3 linked regions of the Xenopus tropicalis genome follow. The protein of the gene in region 2 interacts with the protein of the main gene of each other region in a pairwise test. Links are inferred from orthologs where the notes say so. Each region holds a gene or a part of one and is shown on either strand. Other genes may lie near its edges.

The links.
Region 1: the proteins of gapdh (region 2) and prdx1 interact in a two-hybrid assay, tested with the Homo sapiens proteins (2 studies listed by BioGRID and IntAct, with this or other methods). The link is inferred for Xenopus tropicalis from reciprocal best matches to the Homo sapiens genes GAPDH and PRDX1.
Region 3: the proteins of gapdh (region 2) and kat5 interact in binary tests that used the Homo sapiens proteins (3 or more experiments, as listed by UniProt). The link is inferred for Xenopus tropicalis from reciprocal best matches to the Homo sapiens genes GAPDH and KAT5.

Annotation. Positions count from the first base shown.
Region 1 is NC_030680.2:90,381,628-90,385,276, reverse strand, and holds part of prdx1 (peroxiredoxin-1), read right to left. Parts: intron 3,420-3,649; 5' UTR 3,400-3,419; coding exon 3,294-3,399; intron 2,019-3,293; coding exon 1,865-2,018; intron 1,758-1,864; coding exon 1,635-1,757; intron 127-1,634; coding exon 1-126. UniProt on the Homo sapiens protein: Thiol-specific peroxidase that catalyzes the reduction of hydrogen peroxide and organic hydroperoxides to water and alcohols, respectively.
Region 2 is NC_030683.2:10,006,074-10,010,428, reverse strand, and holds the start of gapdh (glyceraldehyde-3-phosphate dehydrogenase), read right to left. Parts: upstream 2,915-4,355; 5' UTR 2,867-2,914; intron 1,729-2,866; coding exon of another isoform or gene 1,632-1,728; coding exon 1,629-1,631; intron 1,550-1,628; coding exon 1,443-1,549; intron 1,342-1,442; coding exon 1,251-1,341; intron 1,160-1,250; coding exon 1,044-1,159; intron 408-1,043; coding exon 326-407; intron 1-325. UniProt on the Homo sapiens protein: Has both glyceraldehyde-3-phosphate dehydrogenase and nitrosylase activities, thereby playing a role in glycolysis and nuclear functions, respectively.
Region 3 is NC_030680.2:37,908,689-37,912,871, reverse strand, and holds the start of kat5 (histone acetyltransferase KAT5), read right to left. Parts: upstream 2,918-4,183; 5' UTR 2,910-2,917; coding exon 2,901-2,909; intron 2,323-2,900; coding exon 2,256-2,322; intron 1,711-2,255; coding exon 1,642-1,710; intron 501-1,641; coding exon 364-500; intron 1-363. UniProt on the Homo sapiens protein: Catalytic subunit of the NuA4 histone acetyltransferase complex, a multiprotein complex involved in transcriptional activation of select genes principally by acetylation of nucleosomal histones H2A and H4.

The sequences.
Region 1 (3,649 bases), on a different chromosome or scaffold from region 2:
CCATACTTGTCTGTGAACTGGAAAGCCTGTACTAGTCTTAGAGTCTCATCAACAGAGCGCCCAACAGGTAAGTCATTAATTGTTATCTGTCGCAGTATGCCTTTTTCATCGATAATAAAGAGACCTCTGTCATAAAAAAAAAAAGAATACAAGTATTACAGTTATTTTGTTTCTTCTATTGCATTTGCACCACAATCTTGACTGGATCTTCTCCCGATATTCTCACCTATGGTGGTTGATATCAGGCCAATTGGATCGAATTACAATGACGGACATAGGCGCCATTGGACAAGGACGGCATCAATGAGCCGATCCGGTCTCAGATCCGACAAGGAAATCAAACCTGTCCAATCGGGGAGCCCCAGACATGGGCAGATAAGCTGCTGAATCAGTCTAAAGGACTCAAATCAGCAGCTTATATCTGCTAGTGTATGGCCTAACCGATTTTCTGTGATAAACATCTTTTTAATTATCTTTTGCACTATAGTGTTAACAGAACTACAACTACCAGCACTCTTCTATTAGTTACAAAGGTTTTATGCACCTACTGTGGTATGTATATTGATTTTTTCAGTAACTTCTTTACTATACTTTAATTGTACATAAAACTCCATTTAACTTAGCTTTTAGGGCTGTGTATTCCAAACTGTGGGGCTCAGCCTTAAGGCCAGTTATGGTGAGAAGTGAGAAAAATGGCCATTTGCTCTCCTTACCAACAGTTGGGCTGTCAATAGAGGTTTGTGTAAGGAATTATTGTGTTTGTGAACATGTCACCTGGTACATTATGGCCTTTTTTCTAGGCTTTCCCTATACTGAAACCTACCTATTGCAGTCTGTCTCCCAGGTTCTGCTAATTATACCCAGCTACTTATTTTCAGAGACCTACCAGCAAAGACTGCCTATATATATAGGCCTTGCATATTAACCTTGCAAATTCTTGGCAAGTCTACTTCCTGCTGTTTGTTCTGCCTCCACTAGGTGGAGGCACTGCGCTAAAATCCCAGTTCCCAGTACCTTTCACTATTGCAAGGGGGACCAAATTTCCTGTTTAAGTATACAGCCCAACAGAAGTGAGTGTGCCAAGAAAGGGTTACGCTTGCCTTTGTTTTAATAAAGTGTTTGCCAAAATATGTCTCTACCAGATGCCCCTGAGACCCCACTGTGGGCCTCTGGTGGCATTTTCATATTATGAATTAGTTGATTGTGAGAGTTTAAACTTATAAAAGATTTACATATCTATTAGGGTAATGGCACACAGGGGCACTTTAAACATTATATTTTAGTAGCCCATAGACCTGATACATATCCAGACTTCTGTTGTCTGGATAGCACTTATATATGTTTTTTCTGGTCAATTTCCATTCAAGTTTTTAGGGAGGATGGTTTAAGGCACTTTAGTGTTTTGGGTTTGGCCTACTAAAAAAAACAGAGTGCCCAAAGTGGCTAAATTAGCCCCATGTGCCATTATCTACTACATTACTTATGGAGCAAGGTCAAACAGCAGTCCAGTCCAGTCTTACTGGATAGAATAGTTTAAATAAAAAAAGTTAAAAACCAAATGGGAGACCATACAAACTTACATAAATATATTTTAACTGAGTGACAGAGAGCAGAATACTAGCAGTTAATGTTACCTAAATGAAACTCCCTCTTTCTCTTCAAAAACACCATAGTCCTTAGCGATAGTGTGCTGAACATCTGAGACAAGTGGTATGTTCATTTTGCCCAAACCACCTTCCTTGCGGGGTTGGCTAATCCTGTGAAGGACACATTAGCTATGTTAAGCTTGTTAAAAAACATCATTATGAAAATGCTACAGGAGAGATCAGATGACTCATTTATGAAACAATGGATGAAAACATACCAGGCTAAGTGACAGAAATGAGAGTCCCCTGATGCGCCAATCACTTCACAGTTAAGTTTCTTAAATTCCTCAACCCGGTCACTAAAAGCTATAATCTCAGTGGGGCACACAAATGTGAAATCCAGAGGGTAAAAGAAGAATACAACATACTTTCCTGTGGGTGCAGAAAGAAAGATGTACCAGGATTAAAAATTATATATTAACACTGCTCTGAACAAAGAAAAGTATACCACTTTTCATAGAATGCTAGTAACCTGCAATGGACATAAGTCTTGTCTAACATTTACAGACATAAGGCCTTAGCCAAAAGGGAAGCAGACTAATCAGCTTAACCCAAAGGGGTGTTTATAGAAAATTTGATATTAGAGCAGCAAAGAATACAATAGATGAAATGATGAGCAGGGTATGAAGGGGCAGTTGTGCAGGATGTGCTGCAATTGATCACAACTGGGTCTCATCATATCCTTCCTGTGGCTGGTCAAAGAACCAGTCAAGCACAAATGTACTAACAAATATTATCCACTTGTTTTAGGGGAACTAAAGCTCAACTAAAGATATAGGCTAGAAATATTGTACATTATGTTTTGCACTTCTGTACTAGCCCAAGGCAGCCAAGGCCCTTTATCAGGGAAGATCTGTTTCTAAAGATGCCCCAGTAGCTCCCCATCTTCTTTTCTGATGATTCACTGCACATGCTCTGTGTCGCTGTAAGATACTGAGCTTAGGAACCGACAGACAATATACTGTACATATAGAATATAACTGTAACAGTATATGGCTGATTAGTAATTAATTTAGATTTGCATAACATGGCAGCTCTGAATCCAGTGCAATTAGCATCAACATTTTATAATCAGATCTTCAGCATCAGTTTATATGACAAACAAACATCATTTTGCTTGATAACTTGCAACAAACCCTAAGCTTAGCTTCTCAACAGCTGCCCAGAGCACACTGAGCATGTGCAATGTCCGGGACAGTTCTAACAGAATCCAAGACGAGGAGCTCCTGTGGGAACTGTAAAGACCTATACAGGATCATTACTACTATAGAGATGCTGAAACTTTTGTCTAGTGCAGTCAGTTAAGTATATAAAATTTCACAGTTCTAGCCATCTTCATCTTTAGTTCTCATTTTTATTACCAAATCAGGAAAGCAAAGTTCCAAAAACACCCGTAGTGATAATTTTTAAAGCTCAAAGAATCTCTACAACACAAATAAAATCTGTTCTGTTCACAACTAACTAAAATAGAATCTTACCAAATGAATTGCCTAGAAATGTCAATTTAAGCAACATCTGACAACCTTCTATGACAATACAGTACTTTTGTTCACACAGCAGGCCCCAACCATTTTTGATACGTTAAAAAAAAAAAAAAAAATATTTACACACCCCACACACCCCAACAGATTAGCTAAAATGTCAAACCTTTGTAATCTGAAACTTTAAGGTCTTTGAATTGTCCATCTGGCATCACAGCCTTCGCTGTGAAGTCTGGTGCAGGATGTCCAATTTTTGCATTTCCGGAAGACATTGTAGAGGTCTAGAAAAAGGCTGCGTGGGGGGAGACAAAAAAAAACAAAACAAAAAATGAAATAGGTAGAAATGTTTTCTCCTACAAATATTCAAGAGTTTTTACAAAACTGATATTTGTACAGTCATAGTATGCAACAAATTCAACTTTTGGAGCACTAAAGTTTGATGTTACATAGTTAAGTTGGGATGAAATAAAACCATCAATTTCATCCCCTCCTAATTAACCACAGTGCACATATATACGGATA
Region 2 (4,355 bases):
TGATGGGACCTAGCATGTATGTGTGCCTTGGCTTGTTTGTGTGCACTGTGAATCCTATGATCCCAGGGGGCGGCCCTTAATTCATAAAATGGCAGTTTTTAGTTTAGGATTACCCAGTAGCACATACTACAAAAAAGTAAGTTAAGTTATGAAAACTTGCACAAAGCAGGGTTTTTATGTACAAGCTTGTTCACACTATTTTTAGAGAGACCTACATTGTTTGGGGGGGGTATAATTTCCATTAAGGTCACTCATACAGGGTGAGGGGGGAGACAGTTTGCTTTAGGCTCTATGTCCCAAGCTGAATAAGCCCCACTGCACTTACCATCAGTCCCTCCAGGATGCCAAAGTTGTCATTGATGACCTTTGCAAGAGGAGCCAGGCAGTTGGTTGTGCAGGATGCGTTGCTGCGGGCAAAGCAGGGGAAAAGGTAAACTAAGCATCACTCCCTTATTCCATCAGAGTAAAGAGGCCAGCCCATATAGGGAGGACACATTACTGCTTGTATTTGGGGCAAGGCCCTGTAAAGGCAGGCCCAGGGCTGGGAAGGCAGAGCCACTTTGCCAGTTGAAGCTAGCCAGCTTATGTAGAACAGTAATTGCCTGTGAGACTTACAGCATTAACATTCCTGAGCTAAAGAAAGTGGCAGAGAATGGGCAGCCTACATCAATGCCTGCCTACAGAGGCCTAAGCACTAGCCAATTACTGAGAGGTTCCATCAAGTACAGAATGGTTTGGCCAAGCAGCAAACCTAGAACAGGCTGCAATTTTATTATGGGCAGTAGAGGGAGCCCCTGCCTGATCAGTATTTGTATAGACAAATATCCTGATAAAAAAAGGTTTAAGGATTTACAGCCTTCAGGCTTAGAGTTTTACATGGTTGTTATAGTAAACAAGCCCTTATTAGATTACAGAAGCTGCAAACCATGAGCTATTGAGAACTAAAGAGTTAACCCAGTAATACAGAAGCTTGCAGACAGCCTGTAGCATTGTGGTAGTTCGCTCCCCCTTTAAAGGAACGCCCATTTTTACCCCACACTTACCTGACAACGTGAAGAGAGTTATCATATTTGTCATGGTTCACCCCAACAACAAACATGGGGGCATCAGCTGAGGGGGCAGAGATAATGACACGCTTGGCACCTCCCTTCAAGTGCAACTGCAGGTAAAAATTAAAAAAAAAAAAGTCCAGGGTGAATTCTAGATATAGAAAGCCAAATGTTATGGGGGGGGGGGGTGTAACTACTTACACCGGCCTTCTCTTTGGTTGTGAAGACTCCAGTAGATTCCACCACATACACTGCACCAGCATCGCCCCACTTAATGTTGGAGGGGTCACGCCTGGGGAGAGGAGAGAACTGTAAACATCCCCCCTGTGATTAGATTCTGCTGCAGGAACCCAGTCTAGAACCAGGCCAGGACTGAGCCACAACCTCACTTACTCTTGGAAGACGGTGACTGCCTTGCCATTGATAACCAGCTTGCCATTCTCAACACACACTGTTCCCTTGAATCGGCCGTGGGTGGAGTCATATTTGAACATGTAAGCCTGCGGAGAGTGGGAGGGGTTAATTCCCGAGCATTTTATACTCCAGAACACAAAAATGCAGATGAACGGAGCCACCTACCATGTAGTCCAAGTCAATGAAGGGGTCATTGATTGCAACGACTTCACATTTGCCGCTTAAAACAGCAGCGCGGGTCACCAGGCGCCCGATGCGGCCAAATCTTAAAAAGAAAAAATGATTTCTATCGTTAGATGTTTATGCGCTTAACCCCTTGTGCCACTGGCAAGCAGTAAGAAGATAAAGCCTTGCATCATAAGTGATGCGACGTCACAGCTAGATGTTAAAGGGGAAGTTTAGCCAATGCACTGAAACCACAATGCAACAGCTTAGTCCTTTGATCCCTATATGTTAAACTACAATTCCCATAACCCTCCATAGAATCAAGGCATGCTGGTTCCCCTCATTGGTTGGCTTGGGGAACCCCCAAGCCAACCAATGTTTGTCCACAGTGCACTGGCAATTGCCGACTCTTGCTGGGCAGTGTTGCCTGGTGCAATTGGTTGATCAGCATAGAAGTAATGGGGTGCACTGCTACCCCCTCTTTTTAAGCAGTTAGGGTGGGAAGGGCACCCTACATAGCTGTCATTATAGTGAATAGCAATAAACAGGGGCCAGTTACATAGAGAATACAGAGACCTAGATCAAATGGATCCCACTATTCTAAATGGCACAAGGGGGGGGCACATGATTTAGGCAATCTGTCACTAAGAAATATGCAAACTTAATGTACTTTGGTTTACTTGCCCTTTAAAAAAAAGGTCTGTGCCGCCATTAGCACAACACCTGCTGACACAGAAATCTCCACTGACCCAGACTCAGTTGAGCCAGCCTGGGGGGGGGGGGGCAGTTTATCCAAGCACTGCTCACGCAGCACAACCTGAATAATGGCTGTTATTACAAGCAATAATCAGTCTGCCTGCCACTGCCCTGTTATTACAGGCAATAATCACACAGCCTGCCTGTTGCGACTCCTGACACTGCCCTGCATGCTTCGAGGCACAATACGAGTGACTGGCTGCACATTCAGGGCTGAACTTTGCTCGGGGTGAAGTTCAACAGTGAAGTTCAGCGACGCGTAATGAGGACAAACAGGAGGGTGTGTAGTAAGGCTGAGAGATGAGTGGCCAGAGTGACGGGAGCAGCCTCCATTGTGGGGCAGTACTGGATCCGAGTCCTGGCAGAGACGTGCAGGGCAGAATGATAATGTCCCTGGCGTGGGTTACAGCAGCTGGCATCAACACCTCTATTAATAGGAGCCCTACTTAGCCATGCCAGGGGGGGGCATCTTAGTGTCCCACTTTAATGAGAGAAGTCTCTAGAAGGTTCACGAGAGCCCAGTCAGACTCTGTGCTGTGAGGATTATGGTCACTAACCAGAATAAAACAGCCAGGGGACTGTGCCTACGTGCGGCTGCCACCAGGGAGCAGGACGTGACTCAGCTTCCCCACACTTGTGCAATTACTCCTTATTCTGCAGCAGCGAGGGGAGGGGATTCACCCAAGGTGCCGTGCATCAGCCCCCCAGGTACAGCTCATCAATAGGACACTGACAGTGCAAGGGTGACCCTGGCCCAGGATACACTGTGACCTTGGGGTTGTCCTTGAGAGACATCAGCAGCCAGACACTGGGGACACCCCCATGCGCATTACTGTACCCCCCTCCTGGCAGAAGGTGGAGCAATGGGGAGCCGCAGCGGATGGAGAGGAGGGGTTGGGGTGTGAGGTGGGGAGCAGTGACTCAGTGGGACGTGAGGAAGCTTCACACTCCGCATGGTTCTGGCAGGGGAGGGGTTAAGGAGCAGCAGCCATTTTGAAAGAATAATCGGCCTGGACCATTAACCATTTATGAAAGGTCTGTAGCTTCATTACTTATAACCCCTCAACTGCCAGAGCCAAGGGGCATCTTACACTGGCCAATCGCTAAACCGTGCAGAGAACACTATCCCATCGGCCTTTAATCTGCCAAGCCATTAACCCCCCCCCAGCTGTTTGTCTGGGTCCATTACCCCCTTATACCCCAGCATCTCCCCCCACTCACCTGCATATTACCCCCTTAAGCCCCAGCACCCACCCCCAATGAAGTTATTAACCCCTTAACTTACCCATTGATTCCAATCTTGACAGTCATTTTGGTGTCACTTGGTTTAGTTATCAACCCCTAAAGGCAAGAAAGGAAATTAGTGGGGGGGGGGGGAACAAGAGGAGGGTACCCCGTGCCCAAGTCACTCTCCATCCCATCTATTGGGCACATCCACCCACCCCTCTGTGCCCCCAACAACCTACCTTTAATATTAACCCCCACACCACTGCACCTTGAATTGGTCCCCCTGCAGCTAAATCCCACCCAAAGGCACCCATATAGCCCATACCCACCCACTAGAGGGCAGGAAGTGCCCCATTTCACCCAGTGTCCAACCCAAATCATTAATACACAGACTCCTGATTACCCAAGGTTCCCACTTCCCTATATCTACCAGAACCCCATTACTCATCCCACCCTAAAGCCTCCCCAATCTAAGCACAGGCAGCCCTTACACCATCCCATCCTTAGCCACTAATACAGTAACCCCATTACTCACAAACACACTACATTGGAAAAGTACCAGTAGCACAGAACTACAACTCCCATCACTGTCAGTTGACACCGACATTAGTACCTTTAGCAACTGCAAACGAAACCCCCTAGGAGAGCATATAGTAGGAGCTATACCCAAGCCTACCCTGCCGAGCCACACCCCCAACCTAGGCTCCACTCCTCCCGCACTCACCTCTCGTTTCTGTGCCCTGT
Region 3 (4,183 bases), on a different chromosome or scaffold from region 2:
CATCAAAAACACAGTATGACTGATAATGGACCCTCTACATACAAAAAGTTGAACAGCAATGCTACATCCTATCATAAACACTGAAATTATTTAGTATGTTAGATAAAATAGCACCCAACTGGATGACTTGGAGAAGAGGGAGGAACATGCAGGTATCTTTGTTTTAAAGAGGGCACAGGAAGAAACTGATATCTCCCAAAGCCCAAAGGAGCAGAGTGGCATTAGTTCTGCTAAAGCAATACTACCTGCTACTTTCTGTTGCACTTATTTTAGTAGTAAGGTGCAGGGATAACTGTTATGGTCAACATCATCCCTGCAAGACAGATTGACATGACCAGTTTCTTTGAGTGCCCAAGCACTTACCACCTCTCTCTCAGGGGAGCTTGGTCTTGATCCAGGTAGTCCATTCTTTGTTGGAGTTTTTGCCTCTTTCTTTGGAAATTGAATCTTCTTAAGATCCAAACGATCATGAGTAACCCACTCATCTAATCGCTTGTTAACTGGGGGGATTAATAGAGTAAAAAAGTAAAAAAAAGAGACTGAAATAATTTTACAAGAGAAAAAAATGCTAGCAATAAGAATTAGAAGAGGTTAAAAAATTTTAACTTCTGTGTTTACGTGACAAAAAGTCACATGAATTTTAGGATTCAGATTTGGTTCCACCAGGACTGTGGATTCGCCAAATCTGAATCTTGCCGAAAAAGGCTGAATCCCGAACCAAATCCTGGATTCGGTGCATCCCTACATTATAATATGCAAGCTAATTGATAACAGAATATATGGCATTTTCTAAAAAAAGACATGGACTAGCTATAGCAGAGTAAATGCTACAGACTGACAAAGTGGGCCTGATTTGGCTGGCCAATCAAGAAGCCTGAAAGAAAGTCTACAGAAGGGCTCTGACGACATAGGTGTCTGTGAATCCAACATACAGGAATCTGTGTGCCTGTACATACACAGTTGCCTGTGCAGAGGTCTGAAATATTGCTGCAATAGGTATGTCACTGGTATGGAGGGAGTGTCTTTTATACACTCTTTTGTCACAACTGTCACACCTGTATTGAATAAAAATTTGTTTCTGCATGTGTAAATTGCAAGAGGGCAACTGGCAGCTGATCTAAGCCTGCTGGTGAGCAGCACAATCTTGAATGCAAAAGAGTCAGAAGTGCTGTGTATATGAGGATATAAAGGATATAAACAATAAGCTGCTTTGCTGTTATATGTACAAATGCAGCTTCATCAGCCCCTAGCCCAGCCCGGCTCAATTCCTTTACTTCCCCTTTGCACATGTTTGCTGTTGAGCCTCATGACATGCCACAGCAAATCAGCTTTCACTATGCTCTGTCACTCACACAGAGATTCTGGAGGGTGGCGAATGGGAGGCTGCTTCAATAATTAGCCATAACTTTGTAACAGTGCAACATTTCTAAATGCTATACATTGTCAAAATGTTTGTCTAGATTTTATATTTTCAATATTCTAAAAACATTTTTCATGATTGCTCCCCTTTAAGCAGCTCAAGCCTAGTTTCAGTACATATCATTATTTAAGCCATGTATCCTGCATATTACTATATGTAATATGCAGGATATATGTAATACTAAGTGAAACATTAAACTCCATATTTAAATATAAACTTACAGTCTATATAATGCACATAGAATAGTTTCTTCCCTGTAAGTTCCTTGATGCTCAGAATTTCAGCAAGTGCTAGAGAGGATTAAACAGAGACAAAAGAAGTGGTTACAAAAACGGTATATTTTATTATGAATTACATTTTATTTCTTTGCTTCTTCACAAACCATCTGAATGAAAATTCACCATATAAATAAAAAACACACAGAATTCTACACTCTTGTAAACATAAACAAGTACAGGTATGGGATCCATTTTCCGGAAACCAGTTATCCAGAAAGCTCCGAATTACGGAAAGCCCATCTCCCATAGATTCTGTTTTAATCAAATAATGTAGAATTTTAAAATTGATTTCCTATTTCTCTGTAATAATAAAACAGTACCTTATATTTGATCTGTACTAAGATATAATTAATCCTTATTGGCGGCAAAACAGTCCTATTGGGTTTAATGAATGTTTTTGTGATTTTTTTCTTACGGTATGAAGAACCAAATTATGGAAAAACCCCTTATCCGAAATACCCTTGGTCCCGAGCATTCTGGATAATGGGTCCTATACCTGTACAAGCTATATTTCTGCAATATTTATTACAGTGCGTTTCAAGCTATGTAGTACTTACGCCATTCAACTTCATTATCTTGATTCTTGCGAAGTACAGGCAATCGGCAACCCTCCACAATCTCTGCCTGAAAATCAGTCACGGATAAATGAGAAACGGGCAACTTAACAGTGTATTATTTTAATGGCTGTATAATGTAGTGGCAAATACTTGTTCCTGACAGTTTATGTCCCCTTTAAATAATAAAGTACAACATAAAAGGTGTCAATGTGTGAGATACAATAACTAACAGCACATCTAAAAGGAGTAATAATGAGGAAATAAATCCTAGACAGATCAGCTGAAAAACAAATATAGAAAACCAAATGTAATATGGCTCAAGATGCAGTAATTTGTCTGAGGAAATCCTGACATAACATGGTCATTAATGGGGAATATAAATGGGGAACCTTACAAGCAATTGGAATTTGCATTCACAGCAGCTGATATACGGCCATGCAAGAAGCGACAGCCAATGTTTGGTCAATATGATTAAATGTTTCTATGGCCTCATAATACAGAGAGGTTCTCTTGACATAAAAGAAATGGATAACGCAAAATTCCAGCCCCTTTTCGTATCCTACGCTTTGCATGTAACTATATTCTGTGGAAATATCACCTACAATTGCGCATACATAGCGATAAGAGCTAAACAATAAATCTTACCTCCGCCATGATTTTGCTTTAAAGCGACTTCCTTCTTTCCAGCCTCGCAGCCGCCTCCCCCTTCCTTGACAACCGTATCGAAGGGCAAAGAAGTCGCGCCGGAATAAGCATAGCATTTTTACGAGCCTCTAAAACTCACCTTTGTCCTTGATTTGGAACAGGTTATGAAATTTTAAAGAAATATATTTTTTGTAATAACTGGAGCATACTGGACAAATATAAATATAGTATTAATTACCAGGCATTCGCCTGGGCAGCAATAGCAAAAAGGCGGTAATTGTTTCCCCTTTTTCGATTTGACACGCACCATGCGTTCCAGTGATAGCGATCCGCCCAAAACACTTCCGTAAACGGAGTTACGCATGTGTGTAATAGTAAAAACAGTGTAGTATACAGAGGTTGGTTGCGAATGTGTGTGAAACATTTATTCCCATCAAAGGGGACTCTAAAGGGATGTGGGTCCCAGTAAATTCTGGTTATGCCAATGCCTTTGTTTCTTTTCCTTGATGTGTGTTGTATAAGCAATGGCTAGTGAGAAATGACCTATGCTGTATGTAATGGAAATAAATTACGTTATTGATCATCTGGAACCACAATAGCTAAGGCAGAAGATTAACTTCTGTAACTTTAACACAAATATATAAAATTAATTTCTGATAAGCAGTGAAGTAACAGGTAAGATCAAATGGGCATTGTTCTAATATGCTCTGCTTTACTGTCACCTCAGCTCATGGACTGACAATATACTCTATTTATTGTTGTATATATAAACGTAAGTGAAAGCTGCTTAGTAGCAACAGGCAAAGACACAAGGACCCGGAGGTATAACAACAATAACCCAGTGGTTGCTTGGGAATCAAGAAATGTACAGGCCAGGCAAGGGTTCTGGATAATGCATAATTTCTATCTGTGAGAAACTGACATCTTCCTCAAAGTTTTAATGCCTAAAAAAACATTTTCTTGTGGGACCCAGTGTATAATGAATATAATGAATTTGAAACAACAACATATTAAAGAAATGCTCAGCTTTTTCAGAGCAGATCTATAATCGGACTTTAGAAACATGCTAAAAAGGGCTCAAAACAGAATTAAGTGTTTTTTCTTTTCTAGTATAACTGTTATTGCATTTAATTGCAAGGCTTTGTAAAGGTAACATTTTAAAGCAGAAGCACTGATGAGGTTAAAAGTCCTGCTGCATGCATAGGGTTGATCACCTAATTCCTATCCACTCCTAAACATAAAAAAAGACTATATAAAGAATGTTGTTATGCAACAGAAATTTT